2 linked regions of the Arabidopsis thaliana genome follow. The protein of the gene in region 1 interacts with the protein of each later gene in a biochemical or structural test. Each region holds a gene or a part of one and is shown on either strand. Other genes may lie near its edges.

Region 1 (8,258 bases):
GATTTTAGAAAAGAAACAAAACACTTTAATGAAATTACGTTTTCATTCAAAGACAAAAAAGAAACATAAAAACAAATATTCAAAGAGAACAAAACGTGACAAGTAATAAATCAATGGAAACGTTTTGTCGTCCAAATAATACTATTATACATCTCACATATTCTATCACGATTATATAATCACGAATCTGGATTTGAAACTATATGTAATCAGCTTTATCCTCTCACATTTATATAAAATCTCAGAATCATGATCAATCATTGATCATATATTCATATGTTAATCTTCCTTTTTTCTTCTATTAATCCTTGATCTCTCAAATTCTCAAAACTCCAATTCCTTCGGACTCCAGTGCTCCTTACGAGCTTTGGTTGTTCCGGCCGGGTTGGTACATTGCTAGGGCTAGAACCAACAGGACCACTTAGCCTAACGTGATGAATCTTTTTCACCTTCTTCATCTTATGCGCTAAAGACGATCCTGGCCGTCCAATCTTCTCATAGATCCTAGGACTCAAATTCCCTGACCAATTTCTCCCACCAATAGGATTTACACAACATGTTTTACCTAGAACATTGTTAATCTCGACCCTTGGTGGTCCAGGACCGGAGAGATCAACATCTTTGTTGGAATCTGTTCGTGGAAGGGCTTGACATGATAGACAATTTAGGCTCATGGCTTTTTTGCGATCTCCTTACGACAATGGAGATCAATAATGAGCGAGAGAGAGACAAGGAAGAAGAAAGAGAGACTATATGGTTTTATTTAGTTAGTAATATGTTTCTTGTTTTATTTTAGTAAAAGACTAACGAGAACTAATCTAATTTTAGTGAAAAGTGTATATTTGTAAATTCGATTTTGGGTAACACACACGTTGCATGTGTAAGTAGGGATATCGCCTCACACGTTAATTAACAACTATAACCTTCATAGAAATGAGAGAGTTTTCTGTCTTTGGTCGTTGGTTATAATCAAAGACAAATTTTGTAAGAATTAACAATAGTTGTTGTCATATATATTTTCATTACAAAATTATAGTGTGAACGAATGAGTGAACAACTATTTAATATACATATACCTAAGATAGATGAAAGATGGCTATAATTTTCTAACATCCTTTAAAGAGGAGGGGTCAACTTTATGGTACTACATGAAAAGTATTTTTCAATTTATTATGAAAACTTAAGTTGGTGGTTTTTAATTAGAACTCATCAATGGTGGAGAAAAGTAGCTTATTGGCAACTTTCATTGTTGATTATGCAGTAAATGTTCTTCATGTTTGCAGAAAATCAAATGCCTTCACATTTTGGTTTAAACAAAAATTTGAGACTAAACCTACTAGCAAATTTTCGGATTTAAATTCAAATTGTGATACTACAAACTCAGTTCCAAAAAGAATATTCGGAAAATCTTGATTTTTGCGGTATATATGTTACTAAACTACTTAAAGACTAGTCGTTACTAATGTACACAAGACTATAAGAATTAAGAAACATAGGTAGATCACACGGCTCTCTAAACATAGAGATATACTCAAACTCACACATAAGATAAGATAAGATAGGCACTAAAAGACTTCCTACTCATTACTTAAAACTAACAAATCTTTGGTTTAACTTTTAGTTTCTTTTACAAACAAATCACACATGTCTCCACATTTTTGGCATTATAAACAGTTTCCTCATACCCCCTTACAAAGATAAGAGCACTATCTCTAGGCAAAACCCATTTACAACCACTTATTTTCCTCAGCTTTTTGGTACACTACAGTTCATAAATTTGGACCTTTATGTACACTACAAAGTTACAAACTAACAAAAAAATTCAATCATAGAATAAAAAAACTTCAATAGAATTTAGGATCTCACTTAATCTTACTCCATACATATATATACATACAAGTACAACCAAAGATTTTATTATTTCGCTAACTCTCTCTGGTCTTCTAGTCTCCAACTTCCTTCTCACTTAAGGCTTATGATAACACTAAGCTAAGAACTAAGCAAGTTCTCCTAATGAACAACAACATTTAACAACATGAAGCGAGTGATGCAAAATGAGTACTTACTACTTTACAAAAGACCATACATTACCCGCTAAATTCGATCCCATTTCATCGATGAAAACACTAGTTTCCCCTCTTTGATATGCCAACTTTGTTCAATAGTTTTCTCCGACTTTCGTCATCAAAGCAACTTTGAGCTGGTCATGATTGAAAAATTGGCTCCCCATCTTCACCGTAGCTTGTTGAATCATCAAATCATTCACAACGGATAAACTCGCATGATTCACTTCCAAATCCAATTCCTTAAGTGCTTCCATGAACCTAGCACCGGGATGATCTTTCTTGCCGCATTGTACACGTATCATCACATCCCAACCTATGATCTTAACATCAATCTCCATTTCTATAGAACTCGCCGTAGAATCTTGATTCGAACTTTTCCGTTCTTTTGCCCTTGACCCGCAACCTTTCCCATTATTCCCTTCCTTACTCATCCCATCTAGCTTCTTCTGAATCTCCTCTTTATCAGACTCCGCTTGCTGCAGCTTCGACTTAAGCTCATTGATATACGAAATCGCGTCTCCGAGAAGCGAAGCTTTATCCATCTTCGAAACGTTAGGAACAACAGCTCTCAAAGAGTAGAATCTCTGGTTTAACTTCTCTCTTCTCTGCCTCTCTGCTTCAACATGATTCAACGGCTCTTCTCTCCCATTCGCCGGTTTCCTCCCCCGTTTCCTCGGCTTCTTCTCCGGTGGCTCAACAACAATCGCTTCCTTAACAACAGATGCTTCAAGATCAGAATGATCCGAATCATTCGCAGCTGATCTAACCACAGTACTAAACGAAAGCATCCCTTCATCATTATTACTCCCTTTAGATACCGAAGTTCTCTTCTTACTACTCTCATTACCACAGAAACTCAAAGTCTCATTAGATTTCAACAACCCACCTTGAAAGGTCAAATCTTTCTCGACAAGACACGAACTTTGACGATTCTGATTCTCTACAGAGCTAATATCATTCTTCTCAAGCTTAGAAATTTGATGAGAATCAGACTTAGAATTAGAATTCGAGTTATTACCATTATTAACCCTCGCCGGAGATTCGATTCCGGTGTTCGTCGGTTCACTAATCCACAAAGCTGGATCATTCTCTCCTTGATCTGGATTCAGATTAAAACCCCACGAAGAAGCTTCAACACCATTGTTTCCACCACCGTTGTTGAAATTAAACAAGTTGTTAACTTTATGCATCAGATCTGAGCTTTGACTTATAACCTCCGACGAACCAAGCTCAACGACGCCGTTTTGAGTCGCGATACACACCATCGTCTTTAACCCGTAAATCTGACCTTGACCCGCTCTTTCACAACCCGACCCGGTTAAAGCACCAGACCCGGATAACCAAATCACACGAGAGTTTAAGAAAGATTCTCCGGGGAGACCAACACCGTTAACGAAGCTTTGAGTCATCGAAACTAAGAAGAACCATTCAGTATCTGTTACTTCTTCATCGTTTGATTCATCGGAAACCCCAATTCCGCCGGAGATTAACGAGTTAAGCTCACGTATTACTCTTTTCCGATGCTCTTGCTCCGCCGTGTTGGTGTTGTTCTTCTTCTTCTCTTTATCTTCCTCTCCTTTGTAGTAACCATCTCCCCAGCCGAGGATCACTGTGTTATCTCCGGTGGATGAATCGAAGTCGTGTGAGATCTGCCAGAAGATAGCGTAAGTCCAGTTTTCTCCGGCGGATTCTATTAAAGCTTGGAGACGTTGTTGAAGAGTATCTTCGTTGAACTGAGGCTGAGGTGGTTGTTGTGGTGGTGGAGGAAAGAGAGATGAGTGGTGGTTTGTTCCAATGAAAGCTTCCATAGCCGCCGCCGACGCGTCATCGTCGGAGGTCAAGAAGTTGATTGATGATGTTGTGCCGTTCATGTGAACATACGCCGGTTGAAAAGGTGATATTTTCCGGTGAAAGGTGAAGACTTTTTTCCGGTGAGAAGAAGAGAGAGGTGACGTGTAGGGAGGAAAAATCAAAAGAGGGAAAAAGCTAAGCAAATGGCGTTTAGTGATTGTTTGGAGAAGATGATTCTCTCTACAATACTATATTTTATTTTTATTGTTTTTCTAAAACAATTGTAAATAATTTTTTCTTATTTTCTTAAGTTTTTGTTGAGAGTTGCGACATATTATATGACAAAAACCAAACGATAATAATTTGGTTAACTGTTACGAAAACGTAAATAAATTATTCATGGAGTGATAATTCTCGTTTGGACACTGTTTTGTCTGAAACATAACTTAGATCCGTTTATTATCACATAGCCACTTATTGTTTTATGGAGAAAAAACTAATAAATAATCCATTTATGGTGATATAGTGACTTAGAGTTTCGAATATGGACCAATGCTATAATTCAAAATTTCATAAGTTAGAAATCTAAAATATAAATTTTATTTTTCATATAAATTAATATTTTAAACTGCAAAAAAGAATTGCATTTTTAAAAGGAAAAAAATAGATTCTACTCAATTTATATCAATTAAGTTAGGAATTTAAAATAATATTTCAACTGATTTTATGTTAGTTATAGGAAAATAAATATATATGAAAAAACTAAAAGTGTTTTCTTTCTCCAATCATCTTTTTTTTTTAAATATCATTTCATTATGTTCATTTTATTAAAAATCAGTTTGAACCGTTAATATGAAATTTACGTTTTCAAATAATTATCCGGTGTAAATTTTTTTTTGGTGTAATGGTTAACTAAATATCCATTAATACTTCATCACACCATATATGAAGTTTGATTTTCATAGATTACAAATTATTGAAGATTAATGGAAACGATTTCTATCTAGAGATTTTAGTGTGGTGCATAGAACCGTATGTCGTAGTACAGTACCATCTGTCAAACTGTAAAATTGTACAAGCATCGATGTAAAACTATCGGTTGTGGAGTTGACTACGAAAACCATAAAAAGAAAACTCAAAAAATGATTTGCTAGTCCTAAAAATTATTTGTAATATATATTCAAATAATAATGTATCCAACAACATAGCAACTTCCGTTCAATTTTTGAAAGAGGAAGAAATTAACGTATAAAATTTGTATTTTCTCTATAAAATTCATATTCGAATTTATTTTTTCTTAGACATTTTAAATTGTTTTTTTCTTTTTTTAAATATTGGAATTATGTTGTGTAGCCCACTTTAATTGTTTGGGTCCTCTGTCTAGGCATCGTCTGTCTGCTTTCCATGTTTCTGTCACCATAATTGACATATCTATTTATTAACAATCTTCATATTTTTGTCACGGTATACTGTAAGTTTTCTTTAACCACATTTTTTTCATCAAATTTTTTATCGTTTGGCTAAAACTATAATGACCAACCAAAGTATATAATTTTTTAAAACGTTACATATGATTTTTTTGTCAAAGTTACACATGATTATTGACAAAGAACTACACATGATAATGCCAACCATTACTTATAAACAAAATATCCAGAAAAAAAAAGAAAGAAGAAGAAAAGTAGTCAGTGAAAAGGACAACATGTACAATAATATTCAATGGTTAATCACGATGGCTAAAATGATCCAGCTCACGTGATTCTCGTGGATGATGTAATTACAAAACGACTTTAGACCCACTAATCGTACACTAACATATGATTATTGACATTACATAATAAAATATCTCTACTTCTTGCCAGTTTTCTTACAAGACATTGATAAACATGTTACATGTCACAGAAACATTGTATCAAGTAAAAAGTTTTACTTTATCAAAAAAGAAAGAAAGTAAAAGGTTCGAGAGGAATTAGTGAAGATAACCTAATTTAATACCTTAATGTACTTCCATAACAAGTCGATTTTTTGGATTTAACAATTATTTTGGTTTTCAATTTTTCACAATTCTGTCTTCATCTTTCAAGCGATCCTCTTTGCGCTAATAACAAGATGGAGAAAATCATGATAAAATTTAGCGATGAGGTTTTATCCTTTTTCATTTTCTGTTTTATGGTTAAGTTTTGTGATTAAAGAATTAGAAGTTTTTTACAGGATTTAGACTATGGTTAGAGTTTACATTTGATTTAGAATTGTGTGACTTTCATATAAAAATAATGACATCTACGAAATTACGAAATACAAATATGGGCTTATTCATTATTGGGCCATACAAGCCCATCGAGTTTAGTATTGATCCTCTAATCAAAAAACGTAAACAAATAAGATAACAGAAAAACAAAAACAAAAATTTCTGCTTTGAAGAAGAAGAGTCGATCCATAATCGCCACTTTCAGATTTCCAGATTCTGGGGAAACATCTCTAAACTCTTCAACGATGGCGACTGAGAATCTCACCGATAAGAATGTTGTTTTCAGAAAGCTGAAATCAAAATCCGAGAACAAGGTTAGGGTTACTCAATTTTCGATTTTGAATTTCGTTCAGATCTGGAGCTTATACGACCTAAATCTTCCGAATTGATTTATGATTTTGCTTCGGTTTTTAGGTTTGCTTTGATTGTAGTGCGAAGAATCCAACATGGGCTTCTGTTCCTTATGGGATCTTCCTATGCATCGATTGTTCTGCTGTTCATCGAAGTCTAGGTGTTCATATCAGCTTCGTCAGGTAAAACTTTGAATCTTGAGGAACACAAATTTGAACTCTTTAGGCTTAATTTTTAGCTTCATGGACTTGTAGCAATGTTTCACCTTCTGGCTAGGGTTTAAGCTGTGATTAGGAAGATGTTGACTTATTTTTTCCTGTTGACCACTCTATTTATAGCATTTCATGTTGTTGTAGATCTATTATAAGATCATATTGTTTTTGTGCAGGTCAACGAACTTAGACTCGTGGAGTCCTGAGCAGCTAAGAACAATGATGTTTGGAGGGAACAATCGAGCTCAGGTGTTTTTTAAGCAACATGGATGGAATGATGGTGGTAAGATTGAGGCTAAGTATACTTCAAGAGCTGCTGATATGTATAGACAGACTCTTGCTAAAGAAGTTGCTAAAGCCATGGCTGAAGAAACTGTTTTACCGTCGTTATCCTCTGTTGCTACTTCTCAGCCAGTGGAATCATCTGAAAATGGGTTTACTTCTGAATCTCCGAAAGAGAGTTCTTTGAAGCAAGAAGCAGCTGTTGTCTCTTCACCAAAAGCTTCTCAGAAAGTTGTTGCTAGTACGTTTAAGAAACCTCTTGTTTCGCGAAAGTCTGGGAAGACTGGTGGTCTTGGTGCTCGTAAGCTTACTACTAAGGTAACGTTTTTCGTTTTTATAAAGAATTATAGCTTAGCTTCTCGGTTCTTGGTTTTGATTAGATTAGTATTTGTTGTATATGTAGTCAAAGGATAACCTCTATGAGCAGAAGCCTGAAGAACCTGTACCTGTGATTCCTGCTGCTTCTCCAACCAATGACACATCAGCAGCTGGATCATCATTTGCCTCTCGATTTGAGTACTTTGATGATGAGCAATCTGGTGGGCAAAGTGGCACACGGGTGCTTAGCCATGTTGCTCCACCAAAGTCATCAAATTTCTTTAATGAATTTGGAATGGACAGTGCTTTCCCCAAGAAGTCAAGCTCAAGCTCATCCAAAGCTCAGGTAAAGAAAAGTTTCATTTTTAACAGAACTGAAGAAAGAGATAGAAATCAATTCTCGATTCCTCTTTGTTTACCTGTTTTCTTTTTACTTAGGTTGAAGAAACAGATGAAGCAAGAAAGAAGTTTTCAAACGCCAAATCGATTTCCTCTGCCCAATTTTTCGGAAATCAGAACAGAGATGCCGATCTTGACTCAAAAGCTACCCTTCAGAAGTTCTCGGTATGTCCTTAACCGATCAAACTCTATACTAGTTTTCTTTAGTCTCGTTGTTCATACATGCCTAATGCGATTACAAATCTATCAGGGTTCAGCAGCTATTTCAAGTTCTGATCTTTTTGGCCACGGACCAGATGATTCCAACATCGATATCACTGCAAGCGATCTCATCAACCGAATTTCTTTCCAGGTAAAGTTCTGAAGTAGAATCAAATTCTTCAGCTTTTCTTAACTCTGCTTATAAGGTTTTTTTATTTGACTTTGTTTATTATTGGGCACAGGCGCAGCAAGATATGTCATCTATTGCTAACTTAGCTGAGGAAACAAAGAATAAGCTGGGAACATTTGCCTCTAGTATATTCAGTGATCTTCAGGATAGAATGCTGTAAGAAACATACAAAGGATCTTGTCTTTTGATTTACAGAGAAC
Region 2 (8,918 bases), on another chromosome or scaffold:
GTATCGGAGAGTTGGAGCCAACAGATCTGGGACTATTAGAGCTATCGGGACTAGAAGATCCAGATTTCTTCGAAGAGAAGAAGAGTTTGTTCTTGAATACCATTTTTTCGATTCCGCTGATTCAAAACCTAATCGCTTACACACTTACACACCAAATCCAACCATAAATCCAGTTGTCAATTTCCAACACTCGGACTTCACGAGAGAACAAATAGCTTTCTCTCTCACTCGCTGAGACTCTCTGGAAGATCTTCAGAGTTTTCGAGGTTAAGGATTTTGAGGAAGCGACGAGGAAGACGAAAGCGTAACTGTTAGTGGGAAAGCCTAGATTCAGTGCCTTTGTCATTTAATTTACTTGAAATGGAAAACAGTCAATTCTTTGTTAAGACTAAATTTTGACTTTTTTGACTTAAACTAAAATTAATTTTATTCAATCATTTCTTAACAAAACAACTCAATTTTTTCATATAAATCCACAAATAACAACACATTATTAATCAATATCTCTATTCCATTACTTAACAAAAATGTTATTTTCGTAATTTTAGATAACAAAGAAAACGATCTTTTGTTTTCTCGCAAAATAAATAAATGAAAATATTGTTTAAGTGCTGATGATCTACAACTACAAGATGTGATCTAGCTTATGTGAATCCGAAAAGTTTCCACTAACACAGTGCATGCATCCAACTTTATGCGGTCCATGGCAAAACAACAAATCCTCATTGGCTCATTGCGATACAAACTTATTATGACTATTAGATTTGGGCCATTCCTTATTACATTTTGGGCCCATATTAGTCGGACTTTTATATTAGTAATGGACATGTCAAGGGAGAAGAGTCAGGCAAAACGATCATACAAGTCACAAGAGATAAAGATGGTTCAAGATGAGTTCGATCTACTTCTCTTTATTTTCAGATCAACAGTTTTGTAACTATTTTTTATTTATTTTTCAGTAATTTTGCTAGCTAAATATTAAATGATGTGTTCACGTTACGTCTATATCTCAATTAATAACATTACTTTCTGCTTTTCAATTATCGAATAGATTGAATCCAAATTTTTTTATGACGAAATAAATTACTATAATGGTATGCATCATGAGTGTACTATTGTATTCTTGCATGTGATTTTTGATCAACATGGTGTTTTTGTCATTACTATCAAAAGACTTCCATCGCTGCGATATTGGATTGTCAGAACTCGGAAAAAAACAAATTATGTCGTAGCTCAATTCCACGAAAAAGTCTAAAACAATAATTAGCAGCTCTATATAGATAATCGAAGGCAAAGGTAATTGTTTATAATTTTGCAAAAGCACGACATATAGGATAACGTGCACTCTTCAAAAGCTATTTAGCAATGCAATCACGGTGGAATTTGTGCATGTAATCTCTTAGCCTAACATAACCAAAACCTATGGTGACATCTTCTAGACAGATTGGGGAAACTTCTTCTTCGTCTTTCCCTAAACTCCCCTTGTTCTTCTCCACCATGCACAGCCCTCTCTAACTTCCATGAAATTCCAAGACGTGGAGATACATTTTGGCCCCTGAATCTTCTCAGCTTTATACGTACACCTCCATCGTAAATTATTGCGGAGGCGTAAACGGTGAAGGCGCCGTAAACAAGGGTCGAAATTAGGCAAACAAGTCGGCATACGATGTCAAGAGCCCACGAAAGACTAATTGCTTCTGGATGTCCATAATTACTAGCAAATAAGTCTATATCAAAATAAAAACTAAAATGTAAGTATTAACAGGTGAGAAATGACCAGATCATTAAGTAGGGAGGCTCTTCTCTGGATCTGGCTCGACGTCGACGAGAAGCAGGATGAGCCATCAAAGGATCCACTAAAGCACCAAACTCAAAAAAAAGAGAGCCAAATATTGCAACTACTCAAGTCAGTCTAAATATAGTTAAATGCTGCGCTATATATCATGCATATACATATGTCATTTGATTTTCTCTTTGCCATTATTTACTCTCATTCGATTTTAATACAAAATTATTTAAGTTGTTGTTGTAAACAGACGTTGCTGTTGCTGTTGAGTTTGATTTAGAATAGTTAAGTTTGGTTTTGGTTGGAGAAAAGTTTTCGTTGTTAAGCCAACTCGTGATCATTTAATCTGTTCTTTTTTTGGTAGGGGGTGATCATTGAATCTTTTGTTTTGAGTTTTGTATGTCTATATAGAGTCTAATACCATTAAAACAAAAAAAATGTCGTGGTAACCAGAATTAAATGATGTAAAAACAGAAAACAAGAATTAAATGTCGGATGTAAAAACAGAATTAAATTTCGGATGTTTTATGTGGATCATAGCGTGAGAGATGCGTTTATGGCATCTTTTGATATAATCTTCGCTTTGTAGGTCCACTTTTGATCTGATCTGATCTATTATCTATATGGAATGTTGTGTATATAATAAACTGCAGTGTAGTATTTTCTTAATAATGTGATATTAATATCTAAATTCTAGGCTGGAGAAAATGACGTGTGCTGCATATCCCCCAGACTCGAAATAACGATGTTATCGTGGGAGATGATCGTCAATTTTTTTTTTGTTTAGAGATCGTCAAGTTGTTGTGATCATTGACTCCTTTCCATTTTTTCTATAGATTTGAATTTTAAATATTCATTTTCATAAAAAAATGAAAACTTTATTATTATATTTGTGAGATAATTAGATATGTTTTAAAACATTAGTAAATTTAGTATAGTATTAGTTTTTACTAAATTAAGAAGAAAGTGACGCACGAAATGGCGTAATTTCCTCCCCCGGACCACATGCATCTTATAAATACACAAAAACGATGTCAACGAGTGATTTTAGTAATATGTACATTAAAGTAATATTTTCTTTTTGGTACCAATAATTACCTTAATTAATACAAGTATAGTTTAAGCAACAAGCAACATTCTTTAATAATTCGCGAAAAATATTAATAAAAGTACAATGACAGAAAAAATAATTAAAAATTGGATTAAAAAAAATAATATTAGAGTGATGACATAATCACATGAGGATTTAGATTTAGCTTAATAATGTTTAGTTGTGGAACTAAATTTCCGCAACAATTATTTTGTTGTATTTAAATCATTTTATGAAAGTCTAATCTTTACAATTACTTTATAGTACCATCCGATTAATCAAAGATTAAAAATATAGTACTAAAATACAAATTAATATATTTTGCCAAAAAAATGCAACGTGCAAATGTTTATCTTGGTCAAGAGAACGTGCACGAAAGTAGTGTAACTAATTTTACTATTTTAGATTGAGCGGTGAGACAAAAAGGGGGTTAGACTCACGCGCTACACTTAGCGCGTCAGCCGACAAAAAAAAGTGTTGTCATTGAATAAAAAAATAAATTAAAACTGCCGCTTCGCATCTCGTGAATCATTCACGTTAAAATAGCGCACGTGCCTCGCCACGCGTCTCACCACAAAAAGAAACGCCACACACTGCACGACGATGCACGTGCCTTTTTAACCGACTATATCCGGTGACGTAACCGGGACAACCTGTAGCTGGTTTTTGCGCCAATAGGATATGAGAAAAAAGAATCTTTTTTTTCTTGTTATAGTTATAAATTAATGGTACGATTCACATGTCGCATGCGATTTGTTAATAAAACTAGAAATTGCGGTGAATTAACTTCATTCCACGTTTTTTCATTTTCTCCCTCAAAAGTCTCTGTTTTTTTTCCTTTTTCCGGCGAAGCTCTATTTAGCTTGATTCCGGCGTTTAACACGCGTTTTAATCGAAACAGACATTTGAGATCGAATTAATTTTGTAGCGGGCTGTGTCTTTATTATAGATGGAGAGAGATTTTCTCGGGTTGGGTTCGAAAAATTCTCCGATCACTGTCAAGGAGGAAACCAGCGAAAGCTCTAGAGATTCAGGTTATTTATTACTCTTCTCAATTTTTCTGATTCTGATTGTTTTTAAATCGTAGATTTGTTTGATTGATTAGGAGTTATTAGGACTACTTGTAGTATGGAATTTGTTTTTGGATAGCTGATTTTATGGCTTGCTCGGGAACTGGAATTGTCAGTTTGTTGCTTGGAGCAGAACATTGTCCTTTGCTTTTCTCGGGAGATGTAGAATTTGGATTTGGAAAAACTAGTGTTCTTTTCCAAAGCCTTGTCTTAAACATGCTTTCGGTCGGAGAAATTAACGAGAACTAATCTCAAGCTTCTAACATAATTAAACTCGGTAAACTTTTTTTTACTAGAGTAAATTTTTTTGTTTTGTTTGAAGAGTCTTATAATTGAGAAATACTTTATTAGTTTATACTAAAAAAAAAACGAATACGTAAAATGTTGGAAAAGAGGGGATGTATAGAGACTGATACAAAAATGATAAAATAGAGACGGTTGGTAGTAGGTAGAAAGATTAAATATACTCAAAAGAGTGAGTTGGATTAGTTTATAAGATGATTAACTTCTTGATTGTGTGAGTTGGATTAGTTTATGAGATTATTAAAATATTGATTGTGTATTTGTGTTGTGTGTTGATTAAGCGGAACTTGCGTTAGAATATTGTTCAAGGTACAATGTGGAAATAATAGTTTTCTCACCACGAGGAATATAATTATTTCAACTTTGTTTTCTTATCAGCCAAAACGTGCCACACCATAAAAGTAGTGCATCAACATGTGGTGTGGTGTGGTGGGGTTAAAGTTTGAATCTCTCTTTAATTTAAACTATTAAAACAAACTTAAATTATTGGAGTTTCGTACAATGACTTTCAATCAAATGTTTTAGAATTAGACACGGTTTTCGAAAGTGGTTTTCCCTCGTTGAATTTGTCAACAGTATCAGATTCTACATTGTTGGTTACTAATCTTTTCCTTGAAGTAGGTGTTGAATTAATCCTCTGTTGTTTATGTAAGGAGATCTCGAGACATTTATGGTTAACAGTTAACACTACATGTTTGACTTTAAACTGATTATCTTTTATTCTTTTTCTTTTGTAGCTCCCAACAGAGGAATGAACTGGTCTTTCTCAAACAAAGTATCAGCTTCTTCTTCTCAGTTTCTATCCTTCAGGCCAACTCAAGAAGATAGACATAGAAAGTCTGGAAATTATCATCTTCCTCACTCTGGTTCCTTCATGCCATCATCAGTAGCTGATGTTTATGATTCAACCCGCAAAGCTCCTTACAGTTCTGTACAGGTATTTGTCATCAAAACCTATGTTAACCAAGACCCTTGTGTTTTTTTTATCCTTCGCAAGATAGCTTTAAAAGTGAGCCCTGTTTTATGAGCATATAGTAATTGGTTTTGAGTCTAGTTTAGCACAAGTTCATGGCAATTAGTTTGTGGATCTAATCTTGGTTTAATACTGATTCATTTTAAGTGTAAGCTAAGCTTCTCATTTTTGATAAGTTAGTTCATACAATGCCTCACACCTACTTTATGGCTTGTTACTCTCAGGGAGTGAGGATGTTCCCTAATTCCAATCAACACGAAGAAACTAACGCAGTTTCCATGTCGATGCCGGGTTTCCAGTCTCATCATTATGCACCAGGAGGAAGAAGCTTCATGAACAATAACAATAACTCACAACCTTTGGTAGGAGTTCCTATCATGGCACCTCCAATTTCAATCCTTCCTCCTCCAGGTTCCATTGTAGGGACTACTGATATTAGGTACCCACTAGTCATCATATCATACAGAAACTCTTTCTACATTTTCATAGTTGACTAAAGACTTATTTTTGTCAGATCTTCTTCCAAGCCAATAGGTTCACCTGCGCAGTTGACGATCTTTTATGCCGGTTCAGTTTGTGTTTACGATGACATATCTCCTGAAAAGGTATCTCAATCATTTTCTTCCATATATGCATCTCTTTTACTCGTAAGGTATGGTACTCATTTGCTTTCTTTCATTTCTCAGGCAAAGGCGATAATGTTGCTAGCTGGGAACGGTTCCTCTATGCCTCAAGTCTTTTCGCCGCCTCAAACTCATCAACAAGTGGTCCATCATACTCGTGCCTCTGTCGATTCTTCAGCTATGCCTCCTAGCTTCATGCCTACAATATCTTATCTTAGCCCTGAAGCTGGAAGTAGCACAAACGGACTCGGAGCCACAAAAGCGACAAGAGGCTTGACGTCAACATATCACAACAACCAAGCTAATGGATCCAATATTAACTGCCCAGTACCAGTTTCTTGTTCTACCAATGTAATGGCTCCAACAGGTAAAAAACAAAGTCAGAGACCTGATACTACATTCGCCATCTAACTTACTAGTATTTTCATGGATGTAACTTCATTCTCGTTCTGTTTCTTATGCAGTGGCATTACCTCTGGCTCGCAAAGCATCCCTGGCTAGGTTTTTAGAGAAACGCAAAGAAAGGTACGCAACACTTCTTTAGAATACACCATTCAATAGTTTCTTGGGCTAACTCTCTTTCTCGCTGTGGGTTTCTCAGGGTCACGAGCGTATCCCCATATTGCTTAGACAAGAAGTCATCGACAGATTGTCGCAGATCAATGTCTGAATGCATTAGTTCTTCTCTCAGCTCTGCAACCTAATTTCATCTACAGTAAGAAGGTTGCTTTAGACCACTCCACATCCATATTTGCATTTCAATGGCGGTCTTTTCAATGTCTCAGTTAATTTTTCCTCACTCGCCACACTGAGTTTCTCCTTAGCTTTATATATACGATAGTGTATACTTTGTTTACATGTTTTTTGGTGGAATGGAACTTATGAGAGCATATCAGATATGTACTTGGGAAAATTAGTAGAAACTGTTTGTTTCTTTTTTTTTAACTCTGTTCTTTTGTATATATCACTGAAGCTCGCATATGTATAATTCATGTAATGGAATTGCATCGCTTCTGTTTCCCTAAGTTATTTCTCTAATCAATTTTCTATTCAAATATGGGGATTTTTTTAATAGGATTTGCTAATTTGTACTCTGGTTAACAATAAGCTTGATACATTACCAGTTACCAACTCGAATTCACAAAAGAAGTCATCATTATATATGGAGAAAATGGAACATCTTTTAGAATTTGCTTTAATTCGTTTTGGCTAATTATTTTTCGGTCTTCGTTTTGGCTGTGAGTTTCTTTGTAACATCCTAATTTCAATATGTGGGCCATTTTGTGTTGTAGCCCATCAAGGCCCAATGTCTTATTGCACAACGAAAAGGGATGTTGCAAAAGATGATAAACCGGATATGAATTCAGTCGCGGTTAAGTTAACGCGAAGACAAAACCGGTTGGACATGTTCGGTTTTCGGCGATGATTATTTCAACGTTTTTCAGTCTAATCAAAACCAATACGAGCAGACACAGCTCCGTACGATCACAAGGATTCACTGATTTCTAAGCTTTTCATAGAAAGAAGAAGAAAAAGGCGGAATTCGATGGTGGATGCGATTCAAGTAGCTGAGCTGAGAAGATTCGTCGAGCAGTTGAAATTGAATCCTTCGATTCTCCACGATCCTAGTCTGGTTTTCTTCAAAGAATATCTCCGAAGGTGATTCATTCTTCTCTGACTTATCTTTCTTTCGGTGAATTTCATTTGTCAGTTGAATTTTTCCATGGAGCTGTGAGTTTCTTTGTAATCGATGCTCGTTCCCGTCTTATCGTGTACAGTTTAGGAGCTCAAGTTCCGAAGATTGAGAAAACTGTAAGTTGTCTTTCTTATGAATTATCGATGTTTAGGTTTCTCTTGTTTGTGCTACTTGGGATTGAGTTCTTAATATCTTTGTGTTGAATTGATGTACAAAACCCTTTTCTAGGCTTCAACACTATCTAAATGTTGATCGAATAGTTAACTATAAATTGCAGGAAAGAGATTATGAAGATAAGGCTGAGACAAAACCCAGTTTCTCTCCTAAACATGATGATGATGATGATGATATTATGGAGTCTGATGTTGAACTCGACAACTCTGATGTAGTTGAACCAGACAATGAGCCTCCTCAGCCGGTAGGTGTTGAAGTTATCATCTTTGGATATTATGTGGTGCTTGTGTCTCTATGCATTTTTTTACCTGATTGGATGATTTTACTTTCTTGTCTTAGATGGGAGACCCTACTGCTGAAGTGACCGATGAAAATAGGGATGATGCTCAGTCAGAGAAGAGCAAAGCTATGGAGGCAATCTCTGATGGTACATAACTACCGTTGAAATTGGTTTTGATTATCTACTTCATAAGATTTCTCCTTAATGCTTGATTGGTATACAGGGAGGTTTGACGAAGCTATAGAGCATCTAACAAAAGCTGTCATGCTAAATCCTACTTCAGCGATTCTCTACGCCACTAGAGGTAACTTTCTTTTACTAGTTCACTCTCCCTTTTCGGCTGAATGTGGGTGATAATACTCAATATTTGTGATTGTTGTCCTGCAGCTAGTGTGTTTTTAAAAGTTAAGAAGCCAAATGCTGCAATTCGTGATGCCAACGTAGCGTTACAGGTGATCATTTCTCTTGACATAAACTTGTTTTGTTTGTGCTGAAAATGGATTTGGTAAAACAAGTTTATGTCTCAATAGTTTTATGGCTTGGGAGAGTGATTTTATATCTCAATGGTTTTCTTCCATAAACAAGCTAAACTAGTTTATTTTGGGGTTTAGTTCAACTCTGATTCAGCTAAGGGGTACAAATCACGAGGTATGGCTAAGGCCATGTTAGGCCAATGGGAAGAGGCTGCAGCTGATCTACATGTCGCATCAAAATTAGATTACGATGAGGAGATAGGGACAATGCTTAAGAAGGTAATTGCGGAAACCTCTTGATATCACTGTATGGTCCTTGAGTTTTACAGTACCAAATATATATGCTGAAAATGTGTACTTCCCAGGTTGAACCCAATGCAAAGAGAATCGAAGAACACCGCAGGAAATACCAACGCCTGAGGAAAGAAAAGGAGCTCCAAAGGGCTGAAC

Evidence for each region. The genes of interacting proteins can lie anywhere in the genome.
Region 2: the proteins of MYC3 (region 1) and JAZ3 form a complex in vitro, tested with the Arabidopsis thaliana proteins (2 studies listed by BioGRID).

Annotation. Positions count from the first base shown.
Region 1 is NC_003076.8:18,969,910-18,978,167, reverse strand, and holds MYC3 (Basic helix-loop-helix (bHLH) DNA-binding family protein), read right to left. Parts: upstream 4,147-8,258; 5' UTR 3,938-4,146; coding exon 2,159-3,937; 3' UTR 1,578-2,158; downstream 1-1,577. Other genes in the region: AT5G46770 (uncharacterized protein), read right to left, coding at 273-674; AGD9 (ARF-GAP domain 9), read left to right, coding at 6,351-6,419, 6,520-6,638, 6,845-7,268, 7,354-7,614, 7,707-7,832, 7,918-8,019, 8,111-8,218. UniProt on the Arabidopsis thaliana protein: Transcription factor involved in tryptophan, jasmonic acid (JA) and other stress-responsive gene regulation. With MYC2 and MYC4, controls additively subsets of JA-dependent responses.
Region 2 is NC_003074.8:6,116,143-6,125,060, forward strand, and holds JAZ3 (jasmonate-zim-domain protein 3), read left to right. Parts: upstream 1-3,564; 5' UTR 3,565-3,825; coding exon 3,826-3,910; exon of another isoform or gene 3,911-4,940; coding exon of another isoform or gene 4,941-4,986; coding exon 4,987-5,186; intron 5,187-5,446; coding exon 5,447-5,661; intron 5,662-5,736; coding exon 5,737-5,827; intron 5,828-5,908; coding exon 5,909-6,212; intron 6,213-6,309; coding exon 6,310-6,370; intron 6,371-6,446; coding exon 6,447-6,549; 3' UTR 6,550-6,902; downstream 6,903-8,918. Other genes in the region: AT3G17850 (Protein kinase superfamily protein), read right to left, coding at 1-103; TDX (tetraticopeptide domain-containing thioredoxin), read left to right, coding at 7,392-7,504, 7,624-7,657, 7,819-7,959, 8,055-8,142, 8,219-8,299, 8,383-8,447, 8,607-8,747, 8,834-8,918. UniProt on the Arabidopsis thaliana protein: Repressor of jasmonate responses. Jasmonoyl-isoleucine (JA-Ile) specifically promotes COI1-TIFY6B/JAZ3 interaction. Acts as a negative regulator of MYC2 function. Feed-back regulated by MYC2.